Struthio camelus: one gene and its partners. The protein of the gene in region 2 purifies or fractionates together with the protein of the main gene of each other region. This does not show direct contact. Links are inferred from orthologs where the notes say so. Each region holds a gene or a part of one and is shown on either strand. Other genes may lie near its edges.

Region 1 (6,963 bases), on a different chromosome or scaffold from region 2:
AGTATGTCAACAATCTTATTTGAAATACATGGTAATAAAGCAGGTTTTACTGTAGACATTCACATTCTGACTGTACCATTATCTTTGAAATATCCATCTGTTTTTTCGCCTTTGAGTGCCAGTAGCACTTTTGAAAGCTGTTAGAATTTAAATTCCCCAAAAAGGAAGTATTTATTCAGCTATAAACAGATGCAGCACATGTAGTATATAGACAGACAGTCTACTTGGATGATAGCATTGAAGAGGAACACAGATTAATAACGCGTTAAAGTGACTGTGTAACTACTATTAAGGCTACTACCAAGTAATTTCAGGCAGGCCACTACACAGCTACTAATTGGCAGTAACTTCTGGTCGCTATCAAGATGAAAATAAAAACAGAAGTGTGCCTTGTTTAAGGACACCCATTGAAGCAGTTTTAATTGTTACTCTCCAGGACGTATTTAAAGACTTTCAGAGAAAATCTTGTCTTTTTACTTTCTTTATAACATCTCTCAGCATGAAATTTATAAAATGCAGTTTTGCATAAGGGTAGGGTTTGGGGTTTGTTGGAGATTTTTTTTAAAACGTCTTTAGAGGAAAACTAAGTCTGTATAGTACCTACAAAGACAGAAGAAGATTACTGGATATTGTTACATTAAATCATAACTTCAAAATTGTAACTTAATTTCCTTTTTATAGTTTCTTATTACCCAAGTTTACATCAAAGAATGAGAAAAGGTTATTGTAGATTTGACTGATCTTCCCTTCACAGAAGCAGCATGCTATAGCCTCCTTACCGCAAATCTCATAAAGAACACTAATTCTCAGTACAGCTACTAAGAATTATTTTGGAATAGCAGAACAGAATTTCACATGTACAATGCTACAGGAGATGGTAATTGAAGTTGATATGCTCACTGACTAGTGAACTGCTCTAATTCAAATTAAATTTAACACTTCGCTGTTATTTACAGATAGATTACATTTATGACTTTTCAGCTATTACCTCTAAAGAAAACAGTTAGAATAGTCAATCAATTATCCATTAAATGGAATTAATTTTTTTAACTGAAATCTCAAAATATTGAAGTATAATTACAGATATACTTAACTATAATTTAACACAATTCACAGATGAACTAAATGTTTATCTTCAAAGCCCATCTGGACTAGAGTTCAGACTGTGAAGTTTTAGGACTAAATCTTCTCCTGGAATAACTTAATTAATTGGAGTTACACCAGCAGAAAAATATTGCCTTCGTATTATGCTGATGATAGCTCAAATTCCAAAACAGAAAAGAAAGTATTTCAGATACAGAACATGGAATACAGTTACCAACAATGCTTCCAAAAATTCAGAGAACTATAAACTCTCTTTGTGGCAGACAAGAGAGGAAATATAAAATGATTCTCTTTAAAAATGTAATTGTTTTGGTAAAGTTTAAAACTATACACATTCCAAACAGCTGGTTTCCCACTTTTCCTTCAAAGAAACCAATTAACTCTTGAATTCAAATCTTTGCACAATAAAAGGTTTTAAAATTAATTTCTTCAAATTTAGCAGTTCAACAAAATTGGAAATACTAGACCTCCCTATAACTACAATAAGGCTATCGAACACATGAACCTGCAAATACCTGACACATACTGAATCCAACACAAATCACAGAAGGTAAAGATATTTTGATCATGCTTATGACATGTTTTGAAAAGCAAATACGTTAAAAAAAACAAAGAATCTCTTGAAAATGTTCAAGGCCATTCTGATGAGCATGATTACATCCCGTATTCCATATATTTCTATTTAGGGGAAAACTATAAACTGAAAAGAATTATCATGCTTAATTCTTTTTAAGAAGCCTACCAAAAAGTAAGCTTTTTACTGCATCTAAAAGGTACTACTCAAGCCCACCTCCCCTGTACTTCTCCCCTCTTAACTCAATTCTTGTGTTTCTCAGCCACAGGATTGGGGGGGGGGGGGGAAATCTGCATCTTCATATGTAGAGTTCTGAAGACATAACTTTGATTTGCTCTTTGTGTTTTCCAATCTGATATATCAAAAGTATAGTTTCTCTACCAGAACGCTCCAGAGGAATATCTGCATTTCAGTGCCACCCCACCTCCTTTAGACCACCCTGGGTAAGATGACAATGAAAAAAAAACCAAGGACTGTTTTTACAAAATGCTTGGGGTCCAACACTACCCTACAATCAATTTCTGGTAAAGATTATTCACAAAACTCTCTTGTATGTATGTAGAAACTGTTTCCCCTTAGAGTTCTTTCTGAAAAATAGACATGTTTTAAAAGGAAAAAGAGAAAAAAGATTCTACTGAATATTTTATCTGAATGATTTCTATCTACTTATCCAACTTCATTATGTATAATTCTTAAGACTAAAGCACTGCTGTCTTTCAGTTTATTTATTTGTTTCACTAAGTGGTGAGACTTACTGAAAAACTCTCACAACCTCCTTTTGTCGATCCATTTTCTGTTTCATTTAAAAGTTTGGAAGTTTTGTCTATTTTTCTAAACTAGAAATCTAAAAAACCCACCCTTTTAGGACTGGTCCCTCAAGATGTTCAAGACCATTTTTCACTTTGATGCATCTTTGTTTCCTGAGTCTTCTTCAGATTACAGCAGATAGTTGGTATAACTGCACAGAACTTCCAGCTCTTATCCTTTGGTTTTTTAAGGTAAATACATACGCGCGCGCGTGTGTGTGTATATATTCCATTTACAGATATATACAAACATATCTATTACAGATAATATGTTGTATTAAGTATAGCATATACTTACTTATAAGCATATATGCTTAATATATAATGTATTGTATTATATACACTTTATTGTATATTATTATATTATATTTTTAAATACAATACAATTAAATACAATTATATTATTGTATATTATTATATTATTGTATATACACTTTATTGTATATATATATTGTATATTATTGTATGTTTTATATTTTTTTATATGTGTGCATATACATACACACACACTTACATAACAATAAAAATAAGGTGGATGCTTAGATACTTGAGGAATGAGTCATCTGAAACTTTGTGAAGTTCACCCAAGAAGTACGAGGAGGTAGACTCGCCCCACGCGTCAGTACAGGCTGGCAGACAAGTGGCTGAGTGGCAGTCCTGCTGAGATGGACCTGGGGGTCAGAGCAGACACCAAGCTGAATACTGGTCAGCAATGCTTTTCCATTGCAAGTAAGGTAAACAGCACACAGGGCTACATTAGGACAAACAGAACATGGAAAGTTACTATCTCCCAACTAGACAACGCACATAAATGTTGTTGTCAGTTTTGGGGCTCCCATTTCAAGAAGAACGTTAGGAAACTGGAGAGCGTCTCCCAAGATGGTCAGGGACCTAGAATACAGCCTTCGAGCAGGCTGAGCTGAGCAGGAGGCTGGACCACACACCCTGCAGAGGTCCCTTCTAGCCATCAGTTCTAGGATTTTATGAAAAGACTTTAAATTCACTAGGGATTAAAAGAAGAGTAGATGGAAGAAGATACAGGAAAATGAACCTGATTTTCCTAGTACTATGATAATTATTTAAGAATTATCGGACTATTTCCCATAGAAAAGTAGTATTCAATGTAAAATGAAATGGGAAGGAAGTTTGGAATTGCCACCAATAAATTGCATCCTTTCACCTGAAGCTTGTAACACACAAAGAAACGGTCTAACCTAAACCAATGCTGATGCTATGACGTTAAAATCTGAAACCCTCAAACCATCCAGCTTCCGCAGTCCACTTATTTTTAAGAAAAACCTGATCCTTTTGAAATCAACAGCAAAACTTTCAAGATATCAGAAGCGCAGCAAAAGATTTGAAGAGAATTCTTGGCAAAGTTTTGCATAAAATGATAGTGAATATTTAAGGCAATAATTTAATAAACACTTTTTAAGGAGCACAGAGAGAATTCCTGCAGCTTCTTCCCCCATCCTCCTACTCCAGCCATGCAGGTACAACTGTTTGAGAAACAGATCATAAAATTATTCCAGGTTAAAAGTAATCCAGCAAACAAAAAACAACAAAACTTTGAATGAGTACCTTAATCCAGTTTGTTATAAAGCCATACAACTGCAGGCCAAACGAAGGCAAGAACTATCAGCAGGTGCTGCTTAATGAAATTGCTACCACAAGAAATTCTTAACAATTTACATTCTTACATGGACATTTCTGAATTGGCTGAGCCTACAGAAAATATCACGTTTAAAATCTCTTGCTTTTTAAAATACAGAAATACAAGAAATGCAAAGACAGGGGTTCGTGCCTCAAGTTCAGAGTGTTAACAATGTAAGAATTTTATACAAGATGATATTAGCCTAAGAACTCCAGTTAGTCATGTCTGAGATTGTATAACGTTCTTGAAACCTGACATTACTGAGGCTTTGCGCAGATTGTTAGCTTGTTCACCCAAACATACTATATGGCACTGAAGCCTCATACAGACGCTTAAATAAGCGGCCTCACGAAATCTTGTGTTGCTATCTTTGAGAGCAAAGAGCACCTGCTAGAAGGCAAGATGAGAACCTGGCGGATATTCTACGATTATAGGATGAATGACAATGTCTAACAAGATATTAATCTGACCATCTAGACGTTCCTATGAATACAACAAATATGGCTCATAAAGAAGCTCTAGTAATACGTACATGCTTTTCAGATCTGCCAGTGAGGGAGAAAGTGAAAATCAGTGTTTATATCGAGCTGTAGCAGAGCGACTGAAACACAATGTGTGCTGAACAGGACAACAACAAAATATGATTATTCTCTATTCACATTTTGATAAATTATAGCTATTTAACTAAAATGACAAACCCTGAACAAAGAGACCTTTAGGTTTTCATACTCATTGAGGGAAACTTCCCAGCTACTTACTATTAACTATTTAAGTGAATTTTCCAACTATTGCTGGCTATACTAAAGATGCAGTACACGAACTTCTCCAATGCTAATCAAACTTACCGAGAATAATTAGTCCAGTATATGGGAAAGTTTAGCCCCTATTCTACACGTTTGGAGGACGATGGCCATAGCAGAAATAGCACACCTAGAAAGTACAAGTTCTTGAGGAGTTTTGCATACGGTATGCCTATCCACCACATTAATACATACCAGACACTTGGTCATAATGTATGCATTGCCACATCGGAGAGATGTAGGGCCAGATTATTTTCCTTCTCACCACAATATCACTAAACCACGTAACTCTGCTATTCAGGCTGCGTACCAGGAACAGGATCTATGTTCCAAAGAATCACACACACAATCACACAGAATGGTTGAGGTTGGAAGGGACCTCTGGAGATCATCTCGTCCAACCTCCCTGTTCAAGCAGGGTCTTCTACAGCATATTTCTCAGGATCACATCCAGACGGGGTTTAAATATCTCCAGGGAAGGAGACTCCACTACCTCTCTGGGCAACTTGTTCCAATGCTCTGTCACCCTCTCAGGAGAGAATTTTTTTCTCAGGTTCAGATGGAACTTCCTGCACTTCAGTTTCTGCCCATTGCCTCTTGTCCTGTCGCTGGGCACCATGGAGAAGACACTGGCCTCATCCTCTTGATACCCTCCCTTCAGATACTTGCACACATTGAGGAGATCCCCTCTCAATCTTCTCTTCTCCAGGCTGAACAGGCCCAGCTCTCGCAAGCCTTTCTTCAGAGGAGACATGCTCCAGCCCTCTAATCATCTTGGTAGCCCTCCGCTGGACTCTCTCCAGGAGTGCCAAGTCTCTCTTGGACTGGGGAGCCCAGAACTGGACACAGGACTCCAGGTGAGGCCTCACCAGGGCTGAGGAGAGGGGAAGGATCAACCTCCCCCTCAACCCTCAACCTGCTGCCAACACTCTGCCTAATGCACCCCAGGATCCCATTGGCCTTCTTGGCCACAAGGGCACATTGCTGGCTTACGGTTAACTCGTCCACCAGGACACCCAGGTCCTTCTCGGCAGAGCTGCTTTCCAGCAGGTCAGCCCCCAGAATATGCATCTATATTACAGACATGTTATTACTAATACATATTCAGAGACCAATATATTGCCAAATGGGGGGTGTAGGCCAAAGTAGTTTCACCTCTTCAGATGAAACTTAAGACTGATACTAACATACCAGTCACCTCAGATTTTGGAATATCAGCTTTTGTATCTTTAAGAAAGCCTGAAAGTGGCATTCTTTTGCTCAGCAACAGCATACTTAAGCAGGAGTCCCATATTGCGATCCAATTCCGATTTCATCAACAAAAGACAACTTGTCATACAACTGACACACAGAAATTGAAAAAGGAGTAATAGTGGTGGGGGAAAATTGTTAAAGTCTGTACTTTTCAGAAAAGTTCTTAATGTTGATTTTCTTCAAAATACATGGACATAAGTTTAATATTAAGAATAAGCGCGGCTTCAAGAAAAATTGACACTCCAGACCTTGAATATGACCCAACTTTCTACTTCTGAGTTATTAAGTTTGCAATACTAATGGTTGGTTTACAGAAGAACTGAGGAATGTAATGTAAGAAGCTAATGCACACATTTAGAGCCATATACTCTTTGCTTCTCTCTGATAGTAGTAAATGCTAGTTATGATGATGATCTTTATAATATGCAAACATGTCCACTGAGACTATTTAAAGTTTTAGCTAGTAGCGGCCTTGGAGAGAGTCAAACTGGATGCAATTCACTCAACTGCCCAAAGCAGTAGCTAACTATATTTTAATCGATAAACTTCTCTCTCTGAAGTATCCATTACTCATAGAATATATTTTTAAAAAGTCCTAACAGCTGCAAAAATAGAAAACCGTATCAGCAATACGTTTACTTTCTAAATATGTACTAATTACATATTTAAGTGTTACTAATATCCAAAGTCATTGAAAGTTGATCATAGCAACTGACTTTAAGGCACTAGATTCTAATTACATCCATATAACAAAAAATAAAGCATTTTAAC
Region 2 (7,138 bases):
TTATACTTTTGTTAAAGTAAACAAAGAATTAAAAAATAATAATATCAAGAGTTTTGAGTGAATGAGTGCTATTATAATTATTGTAAATTGTTAATACCAGCAAACAGAATAATCAAACTTGTTCCATCTCAACCTCACCATGCAGAGGAGGTCTGAGTACAGAATAATAGATTTTATACTAAATAGCACACAATCTTTCCCATACAAAGACAGAAAACTATCCAGACTCAAAGCTATCCAAACTCAAAGAGGACAGTTTGAGTCAGTTACATAGGACAAATTATGACACATAGCCAATCCTAAACTATTTTAGCACTCACTTAACATATAGGTTCTCCATTCTGGCCTGTTTTTTTTTTTTTTTTTACCCCCTTCTTTTTAAATGCTCCCTGTTGCATTGACTATTAGTTACTAACTCAATTATATTAAACACAAACAGTTTACATTTTGTGTTGGTTAAGCCTCTTCCTCTTTCCTCCCTTCCCTTCCCATACCACACACGCACGCGCACACACACACACATACATACACACACTCTCCCAGTCCTCACAACCCAGACTCTCAGTGTCATATTGCCTAATCCTGCAGTGGCACGACCACAGGCACAGGAAGTATAATCTGTTCAGTAGTCCAACTGGAGAGCAGATGGCTTTGCACAAAGTGCTGATTAAAAAGAAAAAAAAAAAAACCAAAAAAACCCTCTACCAGACATTCAAAAAAAAATCAGTTTTATAGATATATTTGCCATTTTTACTGACTTGAGTCTGATCTGTGCACCATGCAAGCTAGGTATACATTCTTCAGAGCTGCTGCTTAAATCCTTATTAGGAATTTTAGAACTTCAGCTTCCTTCCAAAAAGGATAAACACAGCTGTACACAGATAAACCATCAGACTGTACCAATTCCATATCCAATTGACCCTGATACTTGAGGTGAAAATGAGCTAGAGGGGGGAAAAAATCCTGACAAACAACTGGATGAGAAGGAGTTTAAATGTTTTTTGCTTGCTTGAAAAAGAGAAGGCAAGTTTTAGGACCCTGAAAAAAATCATATAGCCGAAGATACTCTGCAACTTTTTAACACAGGAGAAAAAGTCAGGAGACGGGTCAAAACTTGTGCTGTAATTACCATACTCATGTATTTGTCATAATTTCCCATGAGTAAAACTAAATGAACCTCGCCTCTTAGAAGCATTTATATCAGCAGCTTTATTTGGGTGGAGCAAACAAGTCGGAAGAGTAAATACACATCAACTCTTATTGCCTCACAGAAAAAGAGTCTTAAAAAACACGGCTCGTTAGTACAGCTTTAATCTAAATACCAACATTAGCTCATATTAAAAAAAAAAAAAAGAAAACAGATTCCAGTACAGATTCTTATAGCCTGGTTTTCAAGTTTGCTGCTCCATTATTAAAAATAGTAAGTGTACTAGCAACAATGGACACCAAAGATTTTAATAACACTTATTAAGTACTCATTACAGGTAGTCTAGTATTACATTCAACAAGTCAACTTTACAAGCTGTCTAGTAAGTAGTGTAATTTAATTGCTTTTTTTTTTTTTTAAGAAAAAATGAAAGAATGTTTAATCTGAGCATCTCTTCGTGGCTCTGAATCCACATCAGTATGGCTACATATACAGATCTACATTCCGACTTAAATGCTGCAAAGCCAAACCCTCAAAAAATAAAATAAATTAAAGTGTGCTTAAAGTAGCTTCACAAAAATGACTTAAAGCAAGGCCAAGAAGCACCAGCAAGCTACGAGGGGAAAAAAAAATACGCACTGACTGGTGTAGACAAGCTTCAACCAATGGAGCCTCTTCCAGCAACAGAGAGCCGGTCTAAAATTACTGTCATAGGATGGTTGAACTAGGAAGCCTCCAAGAGGCACAGATTGCCATTTTGAAATACCACATCACGCTCACACGTTAGCACCGGTATGCCGGCCGCTTCCTGCTCTCACAAACCGCTCCTTTTCACGATTCAAACCTGCAGCGCATCACGCCAAGACAGTGATTCGCGGGGCCTCGGCGAGAATTACGCGGCCGGGATTAAAAGCAGAATTTCCACGGCGAGGTCCCTCGGGCGACGGCCCTGCGTGATGTCAGCCGCGCGCGCGCGCCGTGCCCCGCCGCCCCCCCCCGCCGCCCCTCAGCGCCGCCCGCGGCCCCCGCGCCTCAGGTGCGAAAGCCGCGCGCCGCCGCTCCACGTGAGGCGCGGCGCTGCCCGCCTCACCAACCGCCACCAACCGCCGCGGCGGGCCCGCCTCGCCGCCCGCCACACCGAGCGCCCCGCGCTGCCCCGAAGGAGCCGCGCCGCCGCGGGGCGACGGCTGACGGGGAAACCTGAGACACCGGCTCTGACCCGGCCACACGGCGCGGCTCACAAGCCCCACCACCATCCCCCCCCCGCCCAGGGAGGTCTCCGGGATGTGACTCATAATAAATAAATTTAAAAAAGAAAAAAAAAGACACACCCTCTGAGCCGGACTGACATAATAACCCCCCCCCCTTCGGAGCGGGGGAGAGGAAAATCCAGTCGTTCAGCGAGAAAAGTTAAAAGAAAACGCAAATCCGGGGGAACGGCGGAGGGGCGGGGGCGGGCAGGGAGCCGCGGCGGGGGCAGCGGGGCGCCGCGGTGCCCCAGAGGCGGCCGCGGCCCCGGCTCCGCGCCGCCGCCCGCACCGGAGAGCCGCCCTGCCTCCCCGCCCTGCCGCCAGCCTCCGCGCCCCGGTGCGCCGCACGGGCGCTGCCCCCGCCGCCCCTCACCTGGATGTAGTTGTTTTCGCAGTAGTCGGCGACCCGAGTGAGGTTCTGGTAGCTCTCGAGCAGAGCCCGCTTGCCAGAAGGGATTTCCTCCTCTAGTAACATCTGCAACTCTGCCATTTTCCACCCCTCCGCATCGCTTCCTCCTGCATTAAAGAGACAGCGGCAGCTCCGAGCTCACAACCCGCCTGGTATTGTGGGATTCCTCCTCGCCTCGCTTTCGTGAGCTCTCGCTTTCCCCACCCATCCTGCCCCCTCGGAGAGAGGAGGAAAAAAAAAAAAAAGAAAAAAAAGAAAAAAAAGCTCTTTGCAAAGGAAGCTGGGAATCGTAGGCACCGCTGCTCCGCGTAGGGCGCTTGCGCGGCGAGGCGGGCGCTGCTCATGGCCGCCGCCCGCGGCCGCGGCGGGATGGTGGCGGTGCTCGGGGGGCCGCCGCTGCCCTCCCGGCGCGGCCTCCGCGGAGGGAGGCGGGAGAGGGGCCGCCGGCCTCATGAGGGGCGGGCGGGCAGGAAGGGAGGGAGGAGGGAAGGGGGCAGCGCCATCCTCTCGCCGAGCTGAACGAGGCTGTCGCGGCGGCGGAGGGCCTGGGCGAGGGCCCGGGGGTCGGTCACGACACGCATCGCCGACCGCAACGCGCGGGCTGCGAGCGCTGCCCCCGCCCCTGGCTCTCCGAGCCCTTCTCCAGCGCCTCTTTTCCTGCTGCTCGTTTCGTCCCTCCTCAGAAAAACCCAGTCCCACCAGGGCTGCCCTGGGCGAGGGTCACCTCTCCAGGAGAAGCGGCAACAGGGTGCGGGGTGAAGCTCTGCGCTGGTGCTCTGGCCAGCGACCACCTCAGATGGGGCAGGGCAAGGCTCGAGCAGCATAACAGCAAAGGGTGGCAGAAATTGGTAAGGTGGTAAGAGCGTCACAATTAGAGGTAATTAGTCCGAGGGGAAGTCTGTTCCCAGCTGGTTCTCCCGTGGAGTAGGAAAAACACCAAATCTAAGCTGTGTAGATTTTTTTTTTTTCTGGGCCTGCCCAGAAGTGACAATTCACAAACAATTAGCATTTATCTTTTTAATATCATAAGAAGAACTTAAATATTATACTGGGATGAATACGTTATTTGTGGCACTCTCTTGCCGTAGTTGTTAATCGTTGTTTAGGCTTTTGTCCAATTGTTGTTGAAAAGATGTGATGGATAAGGGTCCAGTGATTCTTCAGTAAAATATTTTTTGCATATATTTTTTTGAAAGTCAAATCCTCTTTCCGTGTTCATACCAGAAAGAAGCCAATAACAGCAGGTGCCTTATGTGCTGAGAAGTCCAAGCCTGCCTTCCAGTAAGTAGCAGGCCCAAACAGAGCTGTTTCCTAGCTCCATTATTCATGCCTTGGCTTTGCTTGCCTTGTGTACGCACTCACAAACACAACTGGGGTCAGCCTTTGCATTTTAGTAATTGTCCTGGAGAAACCCATAGCAGAGAAATGTCAACGTATTTAGGAATGACACCCTCAAAGACATCCTAGTAAGAGCAGATTGCCTTAAATTGCGGCACAGTCATGGTATTTTGCATGTTCATTGTCCAGTGGAGTCCTTTCTCTGTCTGTAGTACTGAAAACCACTCTGGGCAGGATCCTTTGGCATACCTGCTTGCCTAAGTCAAGAGAAAGGAAAAATATATCTGCCTCTCCCTGAGAGGTCAGCAAAGTCCAGCATCTCAGTCTAGAGCGCTGGAACCAAGCATGAATGGCAGGGGGCCTGGGAAGGACGTGTGGGCCTGGGAAGGTCTTTGCAGCTGGAGTTACAAAAACCACCACCTGGCTGGGGAACGGTGAGACAGCTACACAGAAAGGCATTCCAGTGCATCCTGGGACATCGCAGAAAGGACCTGCTACAGCACTTCCTGTGGGATAGAGAGGAGTCTACATTGCTCCGCAGGTTAATTCGTTTGGCAGCTCAACAAAATTGTTTCCAAAGTGGTTTCGATAATTCTCTTTAGGACAGCATATAATTTCCAATCAAACATTTTATTTAGGATTTTAGGTGCCATTTTAATATAAAGTAAATTTGATATGCAACAGTACTGAAATATAGACAAGCCTTTAATGGGTCCCACAGCAAATGTGATCAGAAACTGTCTTGGGCACTGACTTCTCCTTGTTTCCAGCTATAATACAAAGACAAATTTCATGTCTTTATTCAGTCTGGCTGCAAATTGCTTAACGCACCCATTGGCTTGGATGAGTTTGTAATTACCTACAGATCAAAGACTGACTTCATGGAAGCTGTTAACATCCTCAAACGCAGCACAATTGTTGGTAGTTCTTCTTCAAATGCTATTGCTGCCCCTGTATGAAGGGTTGGCAGATGTTTGGGGTCTTGAACATCAACTTTTTTCAATATTGGAAAAATCAGTTATGTGTATTTTGCTAAATGCATTGTGCTTCGCTTCAGTGGGCAAACAAGCCCTAAAAGCAGATGGCAGAACAGCAAGCTGAGTAGGGGAGTGGTGGCCCTTAGTGAATACACCCTCCTCAAACAGTAGAGCAGAGGCTTCAGGTGTTCATACGGCCCCTTTCCCTCCATGGATCTCAACCCAAAATGCCTTGCATAAACCCCAAACTTGCCAACTCTTCCTAAAGTGTGATTGCAGCCCAAGAGGAGCTTGGAAGACCGCATCAAAGAGCGCCATCTTGTGACATGTGCTACAGCACTTGTTGTAGCCTTACTTGCACAGCCAGGGTTTAACCAGTACATAGAGGATAGAGCTACTGCAAGTATAGAAACACAACAGCTGGCTCCACACCGAGCTAGGTCAACTCCAGCAGAACTTTTTAACTCAGTGCCATACAACCACAGGTATGTTGCTGCTAGGCCAGGCTAGATGAGAGGCACTGGGAAACATAGTGTGGATGTGCTCAACCAGATCAGCAGGCCTTATTAGCTCCTGATCCATGTTAGTCCTCCTGGTTTCAAAATGACTCCCTGGAGGTTCACCTGAGTGTCTTTACAGTGTGTTCCTCATCTCTCAGGTTCTCAGGGGATGTATTGACTCAGATGCACTAGACCCAAGCTGGCTCCATGAACATGTATGGTGTGTACACGAAGCAATTCCCATGCACCTGAAAGCACAGACGCATTCAGGTAGCTGTATAAGAACTTGCCAAACCTAGCAAAACCAGCACTGAGCCAGAGCCAATAAACCCTTGGACCTAAGTTGACCTTTTTTGAAGACACTGGTGTATGTCTGAACTGCGTTCACCATGGTGTCCTTTAGAAACTGTTTTATGCTGTTTTTTTTAATTATCACACTTTCCCATAGTTCTAGACAATGAACTGTTGATGAGAATGGAAAGTTAACTAACTTGCTCAAGATTTATGAAAGTGTGCAAGAGAAGTGAGACTAAAACATTTTACTAGAGCCTGGACTGGTGGAGAAAAAAATGTAATGATGCTCTTCAAGCTCCAACTAAGCAATCATTAGAACGAGATCTCATTCAGAGTAAAGTGTGCTTGTGTAACTCTGTGTCTCAACTGCCTATATGAGCTTCACTTCCCCCTCAGTGGGCATGGTGGTCTCCAGGGGCAATACTGTCCTTCTGGGACGTAGCTCATTCCTGACTAGCACAGAAGAATGTGGCTGTCTTCTAAATGCATCCAGCTGTAGCATCAAAGCAACTTCTCCTGCACTATAATTTATGTAGTTCTGTAACTGTCTGTTCTGTTTTCTAGGCCACAGATTGATGTATGTCTTTGTTTTTCCCTTGGGAACAGTACTTGCTTCAGTAGTGTTGATTGGAAAATAACCATTTATTTCTTGTTGGACGGTTTCTCGGCTGGATCAGTTCTTGATCCAGCTGTCTAGCCACACAAGTGTTTTTGACTAGGGCACTGGAGAGGGAGATGAGGGATCAGAGGGGACAGCTGGAAGTGTAGGGGACATGGCACCTCTTCGGATCAGCCATGTCAGCTCTACTGCCAAATGCCAAGCCTCATGTTCTTGTCAGAAAATTGTTATTGATTACTGTGATATAGTTACACAAGTGCAGCTGTACTAGGACAATCCTACATGAATACTTACCAAAATCTTTTTTTTTTCTGGGACAAAAAGAGGCTTTTTTGGTGTTTCTTATTCCATATTAGAAGTAACTGGTCAAGAAGCTACAGAGCTATATTGGTTTGCCTTCCTGTGCTTTAGATCTAGCACACAGAGATTTACTTAAGAACTAAAATAATTAACCGTGTTGATATTTTAATTATCATCACAGGGTATCTGAGTGTTGGAGAGATGAATGAGGTTGTTCCCGCTTCTTGGAGATAATTTGCCGGGCTCTCTGCACTCTCCTGGGCATCTCTGCATGTGCTTTTCTCAAGTAATATTTTTAAGTTTT
Region 3 (7,500 bases), on a different chromosome or scaffold from region 2:
AAGACAAGGAGAGAAAAAGCAACATGTAGAAGAAGTCTTGAAATACTCTCAAATTGTCTTATATAGTGACAGGGAAAATGGGACCTTCTAATGCAAACAGAGACACTCTTGGTAGGAAAAGGTCAAAGCCTAAAGTTTGTATCGAATTGTTCTTCAGTCTTTCAACATCAGAAGATAAAGAAAGGACCTCCACCGACATCTTTGAACTGAGTATGGGGGGACTCAACACTGCGGAGTGCTATGGTCCAGCGTGAGAGACGATCCCATGATCTGATTATCTGATATCTAAAAGGCACAGGAACCTTCTCCTGAACTAGCATGTTTGGAAGGAATGAGCGAGAGTGCTCCGGAAGGATTGCCACAAGACTGAAACATTGCAGACTGTGTGCTCAGTGCTCTAGTGAAAATCAGAAATGTTTTTTCCCACTCCAAAGAGTAACTGGATCATCAGAAGTAAAGCCTTTTCTCTCTCTTCTGTGAACAAACTGGTGAATCCTCTAGGAACTGTCATGCTCAACAGAAGAAAGAAAGTGCTATGTGAGGTGGACTGTCTGGGTCCTTCATGCTGAGTTCCACGTTATGTGGCAACAGCGGAAGAAGGTGTAGACAGTATCCATGTCCTGGTACTTCAGTTAAAATCCACATTTTTCACTGCAAGACAGAGACATGTTTTGACATAATTGACCTCAAAAACAAAAGTGTGGGTGTTAGCATCCTGCAGAATTTGTAAATAAGATCAGGACTTTCTGCAGAGCATTCAGAATAACTAGAGAAGTCAAGAGGACTGGTCCATGATATATGTATATATGCAGTATGTATTTTTGATGTTCCTCTGTTTGGGGAAGGGAGGACATGAGTAAACCTTATGTGACAGCAGTTCACAAAAACTTTTGAGTTGCAACCTTCCAGCAGCAGGTTCTGATGTTGTTACAGAAGCCAGGTTCAGAGATTTTTGCCAACAAAAATGGAACAAGGAAATGTAATTCCATGATCTCACTTATCCTGTGTCAAAATGTTTCTTCATAGAAGGAGGTTTTATTGCTGTTATTTTTCAGATCCATGGTTCTAGGCTGGCTTTTGAGAGCCAGAATATCTTGTCAGCTGTATGAATATGGGCAAGGCACTAGTTCCGATCTTAAACTTATCTTCCTACTTCGCTTTAATTACACATTATCTTCTTTGTTCTACTTCTACAAATATCATCCAGAGTAATTCTCCTAGACAAGGTGAATCCTAGCATTCAGACAAGAGGTGAGTCATGCCGAAATGCAGGATCAGAGTGCTACGTTCCAGTCAGGACTGCTGCCAAAAATATCGTGATAGTCTGGACCAATAGGTAGAATACGAGCATCTACAAATTGGTTTTCAATTCTTGCTTACAGTGAACGTTAGCTGAGTTTTTCTTTGGCCCCCTCATCCTTTTAGTCTGAGTTAACCCGTTGCCATGTTCCCGTGGTGCTAAATTTTGCATTTAGTCAGTGAGGTTTTCAATAGCCCTAAGCATATGGCACTGCACATCCACAACTAGATTGGAGGACACCTGGCCAAAACCCTTTTTTCTCCCCCAGCCCAGGTTGCACTTAGAGGATACGTACAACTCCCAGAGTATTCTGAATACTTCTTCCCTGAGCACAGGCACTCTCGCTGTGGCAGGTGTACCCACAGGTTCACAAAGTCAAGCTTCTGGCATGCTATTCCCTCCACCTTAGAAGGAACCAGGGATCTGTCAGTCCTGAGGAGGTTGCTATTAAGCAGCAGCAATATTGCTCCGCTAGGCAGTGGTTTTGAGACTATATTTATGTTAGGATGAGGTAAATGTAATATTTATTAGCTATTACTGTTGCACAAGATAATATTGTGAAGTCTCATGTTCAGATCTTCTTTTGTAGGAATTTCTTTATAAACAGTACATATTTTTAAAAGCAATAAATTGCTGTGTCCCGACTGTGGCTTTCACTATGTGTTAACATAAATGCAAAAACAATTTTATGCTGTTATAATCCTACAGCCTGCCCTTCCCCAAAATCCTTCCCACCAAGAACCAAACAAGCCTGCTCTGGTTCAGGAAATACAGCTGTTCCCCAGACCTATGCCTAGGTTCTGGGGTTAGATTAGGTGCTGGGTTCACTGGGATTAGTAAGTAATCAGAACCTCTGAAAATTGAGTTAATTTACTATATAGACACATAGACACAGATTTCTAAGTTTGAACATCCAATGTAGTGGCTTTAAATTCTTTAGGTCTTTCTAAAACGGGGAGGATAATATTTGAATGCTCCCAGACAATGTTTGCCTGCTAATACTTGCAAGATACTTCAAGAATCTCAAAATGATGGTGCCATACTGTGACAACTGCATGATACGAACATACTGTTAACACAGTCTTCTCCCACCCTCGCAGTTTATATGGCAAGTTTAGTTTCGTGCACTTCATGCGGCTTAACCATAGACATTCCCCACAAAGCAGAGGTGAGAATATCAGCTGTGTCCTGCAGGAAAGAGAATAACCTTCCTCTGTCTCCTTCAAAAGTATTTTGTCCCAACGTGCTCCTGACCTGCTGCTGCGATGGTTGAGTGCTGGCACGGTCAGGTTTGCAGCCTAGCTAGGAAAAGGCGGTCGAGCAGTAACCTCATCTAGAAAGAATGGCTGACCCTTCTCCGTGGGGACCAGTGGATGGAGTAAAGCAATGTCAGCTTTCCTTTGAAGCCATAACAAGTGCTTTCCTGGGCACATGGTGGTCACCCCGGGAAGTGGTGGTTGTTGGTGCTTCCAGCCTCCCTGAAAGCTGAGCTTGCCCAGTCAGAGCTCCCCGTTGCTGTTTGCTCTGCTCCTACTACTTGCAGAGCAGAACATGATGAAGAGGCCATGCAGAGGTGCTGGTCCCACGTCACTGCCACTGGCACTGGAGTCAGCTGCTCTCCTGCCCTGGCATGTAAGTGCTTCTCATCGTCACACTGTGTTGGAGAGGGCCAACGACTCCAGGATGCTGATCAATATTTGATCTATATTTGATACATAGCAACGAGTTCCATATGCAATGAAATGCAATTTCTTCCTGTCCTGCCTGTTCTTTATCTACCCCTTTGAGGACCTTTCTTTCCATAAACCCAACGATAATGTAGGTTTCGACACGTTACAGGTAGCATTTGGAACTACCAAAGTCACAAACTTACTCCCCAAAATCATGCATTGCCCAGTCTTCCTTTAAACATTTCCAGTTGTGGGATTAGATGCACTGCAACACTTAGGAAGCATTGCAATAAACATCCATTTGCTCTTCATTAAATATCCATAAGTATCCACTTGTTCCAGTCGTTAATTACCTTTTTCCGTAGTTCTTTATTCCTAGTGCTTTATTCCCAATTAGGTCTAGACCTGCACGGTGAGAAAGAACTGAGACATCTGCCTTCACAGTTGGAAGACAGAAAAATTTGGCCTGGAAAAATCCAAAATTTCCTGAAACATTTTGTAATGAATATATTCCCGTGTGATGTATGGCTCTGTCTGTACTCTCCGAACTCTGCTCTCTACAACAGGGTGGGGTTTAGGTGGAACCTTCCTTGCTAATTCTCCTTGCATGGATGAGCTCAGTGTATTGTTCTGTTCACCTCACAACACCATGACGTTACCTCTTGCTCTCACATCCACACGCACAAATAGCTGATGCCCACACTGCATCTGATGCACACATCTGTATCTGCATGTGGTCTGCTCCTCACCAGCATTCTTCCCCTTTTGCAAAGAGACCTGCAGGACAAATGCAAAGAAGCTTATTCTATGATCTAAGACTACAAAAAGTAGAAAATTAAAATAACATAACATTCACAGAACTCCCATCACCATTAGCCTGGCTGATAATGGGAATGAGTTAAAAAAAATAAAAAAAAAACGAAAACACAACAGTTTTCACTGCCACAATTTTCTTGAATTGACCTTGTTTCATCCACGGCCTCAGAGTAATACTAGCTGTTAAATCTCTTGCATCTGCAGTTAGAATGCTAATTTACTGAATCTTTCTGACAAGCAACAGATAGTGAAAAGAGGAACTATGGCTGAAAAATGTTCCAGTTAAAGCTGATGTAGAAGACTGCTACATAGGGGAAGGAAGAAGGGTCTGTTCCTAGAGTTGCTATTAATAATGTTCAGGTGTTGAGCTGTCTATTTAAAATGAAGACAGTTTTGAAGTTCTGTCTTGCTGCTTTTGGAGCGTGCAGACCCTAGTGCATCCACTCTACCTATCGCAGCAGAACTACAGCACAGACCTGGTGCCCAAGCTTCCTTCTGGAGCCAACAGAGCTTACACCCAGAGCTTACACTGGGAGCCTGTGCTCCTGAGCAAGCTCAGACCCAAGCTGTCACGGGCAACAGAGCAGCAGGCTTTCTGGTAAGGAATCAGCAGTGGTTATTCAAAGCCAGGAAAGATCCAGATGTAGTCTATTTTTAGCATAGACCAATGTTCAGGAAAGGAACGCTGCCAGGGACCACTGTGGAAATATATCTAGACATGCCCTGGGCTTCCAACAGCCTTGGATATCCACCGATGTCTTTTTAACATCTGAACCTCTGAGAGCTACAGCAGAATGAATGAAAGTCCTTTGCAAGGTTTGTATCAATCTGCACGCAGAGATGTTACTCTGGAGGTTTTAAGAGGTCCATTTTGCATTTCACACTAGATCTCAACAGCTGTATTGGAGCTTTAAAAAGAATCACAAGCAGAAGAACTGGAAGCTTATCCCTGAAAAAAGGCCAAAAGGAAGATCTTTTGGATGTAGTGCTGACTCAGAAGAGGCTCGGAGCCCTGCGCAAAGGCATTGTCTTCTGGTTTTCATCCCTTACATGGTCAGCGAACCAAGGCTTTATATATATTATGGAAACAGGACTGTCATTAAAACAGGGTTTTAAAAAAATCTGTCTTTGGCACAAGCCGCCTGCCGTGCACAGCGCCTGCATGCTTGGCAGCCCGGCAGGCTCGGCAGCGGCAAGATGGGGAAGCGCGCGGCCGCTCCTGCTTCTCAGGCACCTAACTGCATTCACCTAGCGCTTCCCGGGGGCTGCGGGAGCCGCCACCGCCAGCGGCAGCCCCAGCCTCTCCCGCTCATAACCCGGGGCTTTTCGGCCGTTCTCCCCCGGCCAGTTCGGCAAAACGGCTCCCTTCTCCTCCTCCTCCTCCTCCTCCTGCTCGCCGGGAAGGGCGGCCGCGGCGGCTGGCACCGCAGCCCGAGCAGGGGTCGGGGCGGCGGCGCGGAGCCGCGGGGGGATGCGGCCGCCCCTGCGCGGGGGCGGCGGCGCCGCGCATCCCCCGCGCTGCCCGGGGGAGGAGCCGCCCGCGCGGCTCCAGCCCCTTCCCGCGGCGGGGGCCGGGGCTCCCCCCCCCCGCCGCCGTGCGGAGGGGCCGGCGGAGAGCCGCGGAAGTGCACTTGCTGCAGCCATTTCCTGCTCTTTGTGCGAGCGGCGCGGAGCGGCGCGGAGCAGCGCGGCATCCCGCGCAGCGCCAGGTGAGCGGGGCCGCGGCGGGGGGCTGCGCTGCGCGGGGGCTGCGCGGGAGCATCCTCCTCCTCCCCCTCCCCCGCGGCTGCGCGGGGTTGCGCCCGCCGCCGCCGGCCCTGGCGCGCTGGGCCGCCCGCGCGGGCGCAGCGGGCCGCGGGTGCGGGCGCCGGGGCAGGTGCCGGCGCCCGGGGCAGCGGCAGCGAGGAGGCCCGGCGGCGCCGGGATGTGCGCGGATGTATCCCACAATGCTTAGAGCCACCTGCAGTATCGAGCCTCCCTTGCATTGATTGCACAGAGCCGGGGAAAAGACCCAAAATCGCACCGCCTGGTTGCGCGCATCCCCCCGCGGAGGAGGGGAAGGGCGACGAGCCCCGGGCCGGGATGCGCCGCAGGCCCGGCCGCTGGCGGCGATGGCAGCGCTGGGGTCGGAGCGATGCTCCGCGCGGGAGAGATGTGGGTGGAGGAGATGGAGGACCGGCGGATGCACTGGGCCGAGGAGCGAGAGGTGGCCCTGGCCCCCGGTCGGAGCTCCCATCACCAACAGCATAGAAAAATGGTGTCCCTCGGGGAGGAGAGGGGAGGAGAAAGCCGTGGGGTGTGAGCGGGGCTTGGGAAGGATGGGCCCGAGCTCTGGGGATTTTGTGCTGTCAGAGATTTTTCAAGGTTTATGCTTTGGTGTTGGTTGGAGTTGGCAAAACCTGGGTGCTCCAGAACGACTGATTTTCCACGCATGAGGCAATCTGTGGTCGAGATGTGCCCCGGTAGCGTTTCTTTGTGTTGAACTTTCAAACCAAGGATGTCAGTGATGAGTTCACTGGTGGCAGCCACATCCCACCTGAAAAGGAATGAAAAGATTTCACAGGAAATTTCCATGGGTGGAAGGGATCAGAAAGGAACGATGAGAAGAAAAAGAGGCACATACTAAACCGTCCGTGCTGGCTTAGTGATTGAGAGTCCTCTTTACTGGTTGTTTTTGGAAGGGGGAGGGTGTCTGGGGGCAGACGTTGAGGTCCTGCTGAGTAAGTGGATACGGCTGCTAGCAGCAGAGCTTGTCCCCCTTTGCCATCTGTTACTTTCCACGTGGGGGTTTCAAACCGCAGCTTTTGGATCACAAAGATCTCACCGAATTGTGTTTGGTCGCTAACTCACCAGAGCCCTGGCCCTGCCTGCCCTGCACAGATACCAAAAGAAAAAGCACGCTCGTATTTCACGTTATGACAGTTGTCGGAGGTTAGTCACTGTGATGGGTGATTAGAGCTGTGTTTTGATGTCTGTCATAGCGTTATAATTCTTGGGTAATGCTCCACAAAGGAGAATTCCTTTCTCCCTTTCTCTGTACAGTTAATTGTCATTAACGAAGCCCAAGGAATCTGGAAATATCTTCCATTTTCTGACCAGGGTCTCTTGAGCAAACGAAGCTATGCTGATTTCGTAGTAGTAATTTTATTAACAAACACCTATCATCTCTGCATGAAAAAAAGGCAGTTCCTTTTTTCAGTAATTGGCGAACTGTTAACAACACTATCTTTGTGCAATTTAATTTCCCAAGAAGTGCTTTAACTGTCAGTGTTGCAGACTGCTTGTAAACTGGCTCTGAATTTTTCAGCTATATCAGAAATGTAGCTTCCAGTGACAACTCTTGAGCGTCTTTCTTTGGCACGAGAAAGATTTGATGAAGCTACTCTACAAGAAATAAATTCCAAAATGATTCTGTTGATGAGAGAAAGACAGCACAAATGCCTGGAACTCAGCCTTAAGGGGATGGCAGAAAACGTAGAACAGAGATACAGAAAAACACCTTGAGGAGTTGTGCAGTTTGGTTTCCTTTTTTAATGAGAAGGACAATTTTATGGTTCTTAACGTCTGTGCCTGTGTAAGGCAGGAGCCCGGTTCTGCCAGTCTTATTCATCCTGGCTTTTTTTGCTCGTGCAAAGTACCTCCTGCCTGTTGTGCTGGTTGCAATTACAAGTAATTCTTACAGCATGTGAGGAGAGAGGGAAGGCCTGTGTACTA
Region 4 (8,013 bases), on a different chromosome or scaffold from region 2:
TGTTAAAGGAAACAGGACAACCAAGCCTATCTACCTGCAGAAAATACACTCAAACATAGCACCTTTGCAATTCTCTCTGGACCGACATATCAGGATAGGGACCCGCGTGCTGTTTGTACTGTAGGCAACACACTTCCTAGGTGTGATATTTCTTTTCTGTCTTGCTACCGGCCATGCAGAGCAGAGAAGAGGTTCTGCTGCACTCCAAAGTTTGGAGGAATCACACATCAAAAGCTGCCATTTTTCTGTATGGCATGGCTGAAAGCTGCTGCTTTTAGGGAATCTTGTATCTTTGACCAGTCCTTCTGTAAGACAGGTGAGTTATGTGACACAGAAATTCTAATAAGGCACATATGAGAAGTAAGCACTAGGCACCAAAATTGAAGTTAGCAAGCACTTTTTAGGGTAGTCTTTATTGTGCGGACTTCAAGTCTTCTGTTACTCCACTGCAGTAGTTGAAGAGAAAAGTTCTTACATATGCAGTCTATTTTGGCCCTCAGGGCATCAATTATTCAACTTCAGATGTTTAGGTTCTAGTAAGCTTTCAGTAGTTAACGTGAATGACTTGCCATCTACAGCTGGACTACGGACGGAAAGTCAAGCATATTTCATGAATTCAGCTGCCATCCAAACAGAAGACTTTTGTAATTTTTCAATTTATGTGCTTCACCATAGAAGTTAAGTATCTTTAGATGAACCTTGGACTCTTTATGATCGTTATATATAGCCTAACACCTAATCATTATGGCGTGTTATTACTCATGGGGCGTTAGCTCTCTTCACTTAAATCTAATGGGATTCTCTGGATGCTTTCTAAATTACATGCAATCAAAAACATTTATTCTGAATTAAAGAGAATGCATAACCCAATACTGCAAAATCATTACGACTTACGTGACACATATTGTCCAAAGCCAGTTATATTTCCATAGCCTCCATCAGCAAAAACAAGAAGCAGTTTGCTTACATAGCACTTTGAATACATTATCTCACTACCTGAAGATACAGGTACGCTAATAACGCTACACTCACTGTGACCTGAGAGAGTCTGGCAACTGCTCCCAAACAATGGCAGTCACATTTAACTTAAACACTGAGGTCTTTACCAACATTAAAAGAAGAAGAAGAAAAAAAAAAAATCTACCACCACAGACATCAGGATGAGATAAGCTGCATCTCCCTTACATCTTGGAAGCTCTTGCAGTCCCCCATTGCTCCTCGAGAGGAAAGGGCCAAACCATTCCCGGCATGGCCCAGCAGAGGACCACTTCTCATAGGGCCCTGCTTGCTGCATTTCACTGGTATTCCATGAAAAGGAGACTGGTCACAGGGTGCTGATTCTGTATTTCCATATTTGCTAACTACAAAAATGGTCATTTTTATATTTTTCCATGTAAGCAGTTTTTGTAGCTGACATATAGATGTTGCACAATCACAAACGAGAAGAAAGATGGTCAATAGGAAAGGGAGGAGAACCGTATTTTTGATGACAAAAGGAAGGAGAGGCACAATTAAAACATGCTCTGTGCTGCAAAGAAACCCGAGATTCATCATTTTGTTAATATTTCTGCAAAAAACACAGAGAAGTAGTATTTTTATCCGCAATATTTCACTTTGCATAAACAAAATAGACTGCACGACAGGTCATCCTGCTGCATCTTTAAGCCTCTGGGGATTTCAAAAGCCACAAGCTGGGGTAAAGCAGGGTTTTGGGGGAGGTTTTTGGGGGCGGTTGATTTGCAAACAACATGCTTCAGGCAAAACTTGTTCCATTCTTCTTCTGTGCCTGCTACTAACTGTCTTGAAGCTAGGGGTTAATGGAAGCTGCAGCATGCTGCTTCTTCACAGCTATAACCCAACCCCATACAGGTTACAGGGGGGCCAGGAGCACCCTTAGATCACTCAGCCAAAGGCCACAAACCTGTTTTCCGCTGTGTGCCCAGGTCACCCTAAGCACGCTGGTGCCAATATGAAAGGGAGCGTGTTGCGGCGAGGACAGGGGGAAGAGGAAGAGCGCCAGGGAAAGTTATCAGAAAAAGTGGGAAAGGGCTGAATAGAGGAAGACAACCGGGCACAGCCCAGAAGAAGCACAGGCACACGAAAGCATTAGCCCACCCTGAGAGCTGCCCTTTGCCAGCTATGAACGATTCACATCATCTTTGCAAAAAGCTTAAGCACTGGGGGGAGGGGGGGAACAATAAGGACAGAAAGCCAAGTCACCTGACAGAAGGTGAGTGAGGAGGAGGGGGGGGGGGGTCGGCCACGGGCATTGCCCACCGGCGGAGACCCTCGCCCGGCGCCCAGAAGCGCCGCGGCCGGCAGCGCTCCCGCGGGGAGCCTGCGGGCAAGGTGCGCGCAGGTGCGGCGGCCGCGGCTCCGCTTACCGCAAAAGGAGGTGAGAGAAGAAAGAAAAAAAAAAATATATATATATATGTATATATATACGCACACACATACATATAAATACATATAGATATACACGTACAGAAAGGCACCGCGGTGGGGAAAGGCTCCGGCAGGAGGCTGCCCCCCGTCCCACGGGCAGACCCACCGCGCACAGCGGCGCGGAGTTTCCCCGCAGCCCCCGAGCGAGTTGCGAGCCGCGGAGGCGCCCAGCCCTCTCCCCGCCCCAGCTGAACCTGGCGGCGGCGGCTGGGGGTGAATACCCCGCAGCTGGCCCTGTCCCGACCGACGCCGAGCTCTTCGGGCGGCGGCGTTTTTTGGGAGGCGGAACAAAAAGCGGAGAGGGGGGCCGGGGGAACCGGCCGCCTTTGTGCGCCCCTTTTTACCTTGGCGGGCGCCGATGCGCCGCGCAGCTCCCGCGCTGGAGGAGGAGGAGGAGGAGGGAGTGGGGGGGGAGACCCTAGCAGCGCTGGGCTCCGCGGGGGCTCCGCTGCCGCCGCAGGGCAACGGGGCAGCGGCGAGCGCGGCGGCTCCGCGCCGGGAACAAAGTGCCGGGGCGGCGCGGGCAGGGCGCCGCCGCCGCCGCCGCCGCCACCGCGGGTCCCCCGGAGCAGCCGCGGCGCGGAGCGGAGCGCAGCTCCCCCTGCCGGCCCTCCGCCCCGGCCCGGCCCCGCGCAGCGCCCGGCGGTGCCCGCCGCGGAGCGGCAGCCCGCTGACCTCCCGCTCCTTGCTGAGGTTTGCGAGGCGTCGCTCAGTACGGAGGGGCTGAGCGTAGCTCCCCGGGGCTGGGTTGAAATAGGTGACTTTTTTTTTTTTAAAAAAAAAAAACTGAGCTTCAGCGTTTAACAACCCCACCACCACACGCAAAACCTACCGCGGCTGCAAAGCTAAATCCTTCCCCGCAGCAGCAGCTGTATCTTAAACCGCCTTCGGAAGGAGCCCGCTCTGAGAGCGCAAAACTTCCCTTCCCCCCTTGAAGTCCCCGATGAAATCTCTCAGCTGTTGCTGCTGGGTCCGTCTGGACCCACTTTGCTGCGGGCCCTGCCGAGTTACACGCGCCTGTCACCCTGCACACGGCAGCAGCCCCAGGCAGAGGCACCGGCGGCGTGCTTACAGGTAGCCCACGTTCTCGCTCTGCGCTCTTGCCGCGTTCATGATTTTTATCACGAGCCTTATGATGCTGATGGTAGTAAGCCGCTTCCACTCCTGAAATCAGGCTGTTCCCTGCGAATCTCAAGTTTTCACTTGCTTCATTTTCAAAGACATTTCTGTCCCTTATGACTCACAAGAAAAGCTAGAAAACATTACTCTTACAGCATCAGACAGATGAAGGGAACCCCCCTTGAGGTAATACATGAAATAGCTAATCTGATTTCCAAGGCTCGGTTGCAGATTTTTGATAGGATGAAACTGGCAATCCTGAAAGACTTACACACCTGCTTAATCACGTTCTTTGAGTCGCCTTTCCAGGTTTCCCCGAGATTCCTCACGAAACTCAAAATTAAGAAGCGCGTAAATCTTTACAGATCTAGGCCAAACACATAACCCTTTGCAGGGTGGAGTCACAGTTATCCAAATGCAGCAACAGGTCCTTTATGCTATAAAGTTTCTGTGATTCCAGGCCCTCTTCAAGAAACCCACACAGGAAAAAAGTATAAACTAATGAAAGAGCAGCTGCTTCTGAAATTGCCATTCAGTTCCAAGAAATGAAACTTGGCAGGGCCTGGCTTTTTATAACACTCAGTGACTCATTTGCAGAGGCAGGTGAAGCCAGAGCCGTCGCTGCTGGAGCTATGCCCCTGACTGCTCCTCCAGGAAGGACACCAATTTTCCCAAACACTCTTTTAGAAAAGGAGGAAGGAAGGCATTTCTCAATTAGTGTTTGCAGTGGTAAAGTTGCTGAATCTTACACAACAGATCTCTTCCAGCTCCCCCTTCATCCCTGGATAGCAGCCCAAGACCACCTCCGTTCCAGTTCCCTCTAACAAGGGACACAAGACACATGCAGAAAACCACGTGGGCTGGTAATTTTCTTTTTTTTTTTTAATTTGGGAAGAAAATATTCAAAAGCAACAGGAGAAACAAACAGGAACACGGAAAGAAAATAGAATGTGAGGATGAGAAAAGGGAAGTCAAAAGAATAAGAGAGAGGGAAAGATTTGCAGAAGAATGAATTGTACTTACTTCTATACATACGTAGAACCTGTGTGTTGGGAGCTTTTCTTCAGGATGTGTACAGTAGGTATGGGTATTTATAAAATGTTCTTGATACGTTTATGAAGCTAATAATGCTGCCAAACAGAAATCAGAACATTGTAACACAGGAGATGAAGAAGAATTTTCATGAGCCTTCTCCTGTTTAGGGAAAAGAAAAAAGATATTCCAAGGATTTTGCCCCTATTTTGTTACAGACTAGCCTGAACGTATTTTCTATACTGGGAACCTGCAGAATGACTTATAGACAATAAATGACTTGCTTACTTACACAACTGTCTGGCAAACCCAGCAGAGAGACTTTTCGCCTACTCTCCCTTCCACCATGGAGCTGTGCCAAGCACAAGTTACCTTGGCCCGAGCCAGCTGCAACCTCCTTTTCAGGTGCACGTGCAATGCAAGGCATGTGGATAACAAATCTGCAGATTCACAGGGAGTGCCAATATTCAGACTGTAGTGAAAATAGATGGGCAAGTATTCAAATTGTACAGTTTTGGCTGCCGCAAGCCTAGAGATTTAAGCTTAACCTCTTTATACTGGAATTTCCACTTTTTTTAAAAACAGATGCTAATGTATCCACGGAGTTTTCAAGAGAAAAATATATAAAACAGGCACGATTGTTCTCTTACTTTTAAGGAATATGTAACTCCACTAAGAAAAAGCTAAATTGTTCCTGATACAGGACCATACAAATCTGGGGCTAATCCTCTGTAATCCATAGCAAGGCAGACAAACAAAAGGGGCTATTGGTGCAGGTTACTTCATTCTTTTATGCTTCTAAAAAAGACAACAAGAAAAAGGTAAAAAATCCCACATAGGGAAACAATTTATTTGCTGCTTAGGTGGAATCAAAGGAAAGCTTTTGCTGAAAGGCTAAACATAGTCCCATCTACAAAACAATGCAGGCCAGAGGATTTGAAGACTAAGCACAGAGCTTCTTCTAGTCCCAGAGGTGGCTGTAGTCTGACTGGGATTTTGTCTGGGTTGTATCTGTTTTTAGCATACGTTGCTTAAATGCCTCTTTCTTTGTCCCATCAGAATATTTTTTTTTTATTTTTATACCACTTTCAGTAGAAACTAAGAAGTGAATGTAACTGTTATAAACTCAGATTTACTACTTGAATAGTAAAACTATGAATAACATAATGGACTCAAAACTGGTGAGATAGATTTGGTCTGGACGTGTTGGGGGGGGAGGCTCTGTAAGTATCTAAATGTATTAGGCACCTCAGTTCTGCTCTCCAAAGACTAGTTTTTGGCAAACACTGCAATGTGTTTTTTTGCCAACAAAACAATATAAAATGAAATTATAAAACAACTCGTCCCTCCCCATGACCTTTGGAACATTAAGAACTAGACAGGAGGTTCCTTTACTGGAGAGCTCATACTTGGTTGATTAATATTAAATTACAGAAGTTACTTAAATTTTCTTTAATAACCTTTCTAGGGAAGGTTGGTTCAGGCAAATTAAGTAAAGTAGAACAAAGATCTAAACCTGGAAGTGAAAATGAATGAACCTGGTGTGTTTATAACTGTTTCCTTACAGACACAGGACTCCAAACATAGTTTTGAACTGCAGGGAAAACGTTTTGTTCCTCAGTGACTCATACCCTTTATCCCAGGTAAGAGCCGAAGCAGTGCAACGGAGTCCCAGAAGCCTCATTTCCAGCCAAGAAATAATCTTCCGAAGAGCTGAAGGATACGGCAGAGAACATATCAGAGCAGAACGAGGTGGCGTCATTTCATCCGAGTGTACTCACGATGCTGAACTCCGCAGAGATTGCACGCAACTGTGATAGATAACAGCATCTCAAAGAGCTGCCGTCATTTGTCTAAGTTACATTAGGGACTGCAGAAAAGTGTGAAATCTGAAAAAGGAGAAGGGACAATCATTTGCCCTTGTGGCACCTGCATCCCCAGCTCAGAGAATTTGGCGCTATACACCTCTTGGGAGTTTCTGTTTTGTGTTGCGTTTAATTTGGAGCTTGCAGCAATAAACATAAACTTACCCTATTTGTTCCTCAGTCTAGCCACCGAGGGTTATCAGTTTTTTATTCCTTGGTCCGGAATATTATTGCATACATGAGAGAGATTATCTGAGTGAGCTGGCTAGGATAAACGAGCCAGCTGTTTATCGTCCCACCTGAGCCTAAAACTCTTCAGCCAGAAGCTGCCATAATCTATGACTTGTAAACCTCCTATGCAGGCATTCCAGTTACTAATGCACTAATGCATCAGCTACAAACTATGTAAATTTATGGCTGGGATTAAAGATAAATGGGTGATGATAAAGAGGCTGCCAGCAAGACAAGGGTTCTGTGACATTATGAATTGGCAGTCATTTCGACACAGTCCTTTGTGGACAATAATCAGCTAGTAACATAACATAAAGGACCCTTCTCCGCTGAAGTTATGAGGAGGGTTGCTGTTAACTTCAGAAGGAATAGAATCAGGCCCAAATCCTTAATTTTTTGCATTACTGAATCTCTGCTCCAACAGCAAGTTGGCTGACACTTGGATTTAGAAATCAGGGACTCAGTCCTGAAATAAACCTGAGGCATGAGAAAAGCCCTACAGGAACGACGGACCTCATGTGAGTAAAGCTCAGCAGGTTCGTAAGTGATTACTAGATTTTGATCTGTCCCCTCTCAAGAGCGACACTGTGCTTGATGGATAAGACTGTAATTGAATTTAGGCAAATAAATTGCAGGTTACAAAGCAAACTCAAACAACGTTACGCATTCTGATGCCTCCATGTTCTTATCTTAGGGAGACAAAAATGAAATAAGATGCAGACGATCAATTTTTTTTTGTATCTATGCTGTGCTCCTCACAGGGAAGTAGGACAGATGTTTTTTATTACAATTGTATATTATTGGTAGAGAGGTAGAGCACTAAACCTCAGATATATCTTTTTCCTTATATCTCATATTCATGTAAAAGAGGCTAGGCAGAAAGAAGAACATATAACTGAAAACAGTTATTTGATCTGTTGTGCCAGAATGTACAGAAGTTTCTGAGTTTTGTTTTTCCTTCTGTTTAAGGCTCTGAAGACACATTTTCTGTTTAAGGCTCTGAAGACACATTTCTCTAGTGGAGGAGGGGGAATAACCTTAGCTATATTGCTCACCCCAAGCCTTCCGAATTCTTGAGTCAAGCGTATAAAATCAAGAGGTCTTTTTTAATAAACACAAAGTGTTGATAAAAAGGATGCTGACACTTTTATTTGGGCTTGGGGCCTGTAGATTTTATATTTTCTAGGAGAAATGTCTGAAGGAGAGAGCTAACTATTGTTTTCTGATGAAAGACAAGGTGTTGGTGCATTCACAGGACTATAGCGAATTAAGCTTTTAAAAAACACATCAAGTAGCACTACCATCACACTAAACACGCTAG

The links.
Region 1: the proteins of ABI1 (region 2) and WASF1 purify together in Homo sapiens (affinity purification with mass spectrometry; 6 studies listed by BioGRID and IntAct, with this or other methods). This does not show direct contact. The link is inferred for Struthio camelus from reciprocal best matches to the Homo sapiens genes ABI1 and WASF1.
Region 3: the proteins of ABI1 (region 2) and CYFIP2 purify together in Homo sapiens (co-immunoprecipitation; 4 studies listed by BioGRID and IntAct, with this or other methods). This does not show direct contact. The link is inferred for Struthio camelus from reciprocal best matches to the Homo sapiens genes ABI1 and CYFIP2.
Region 4: the proteins of ABI1 (region 2) and EPS8 purify together in Homo sapiens (affinity purification with western blotting; 4 studies listed by BioGRID, with this or other methods). This does not show direct contact. The link is inferred for Struthio camelus from reciprocal best matches to the Homo sapiens genes ABI1 and EPS8.

The regions. Positions count from the first base shown.
Region 1 is NC_090944.1:60,413,638-60,420,600, forward strand, and holds the start of WASF1 (actin-binding protein WASF1), read right to left. Parts: upstream 3,016-6,963; 5' UTR 3,001-3,015; coding exon 2,999-3,000; intron 1-2,998.
Region 2 is NC_090943.1:19,262,663-19,269,800, reverse strand, and holds the start of ABI1 (abl interactor 1), read right to left. Parts: upstream 3,020-7,138; 5' UTR 2,888-3,019; coding exon 2,771-2,887; intron 2,080-2,770; exon of another isoform or gene 1,787-2,079; intron 1-1,786. UniProt on the Homo sapiens protein: May act in negative regulation of cell growth and transformation by interacting with nonreceptor tyrosine kinases ABL1 and/or ABL2. May play a role in regulation of EGF-induced Erk pathway activation. Involved in cytoskeletal reorganization and EGFR signaling.
Region 3 is NC_090954.1:11,239,207-11,246,706, reverse strand, and holds the start of CYFIP2 (cytoplasmic FMR1-interacting protein 2), read left to right. Parts: upstream 1-4,485; 5' UTR 4,486-4,602; intron 4,603-5,355; exon of another isoform or gene 5,356-5,495; intron 5,496-7,500. UniProt on the Homo sapiens protein: Involved in T-cell adhesion and p53/TP53-dependent induction of apoptosis. Does not bind RNA. As component of the WAVE1 complex, required for BDNF-NTRK2 endocytic trafficking and signaling from early endosomes.
Region 4 is NC_090942.1:71,951,187-71,959,199, forward strand, and holds the start of EPS8 (epidermal growth factor receptor kinase substrate 8), read right to left. Parts: upstream 3,016-8,013; 5' UTR 2,790-3,015; intron 1-2,789. UniProt on the Homo sapiens protein: Signaling adapter that controls various cellular protrusions by regulating actin cytoskeleton dynamics and architecture. Depending on its association with other signal transducers, can regulate different processes.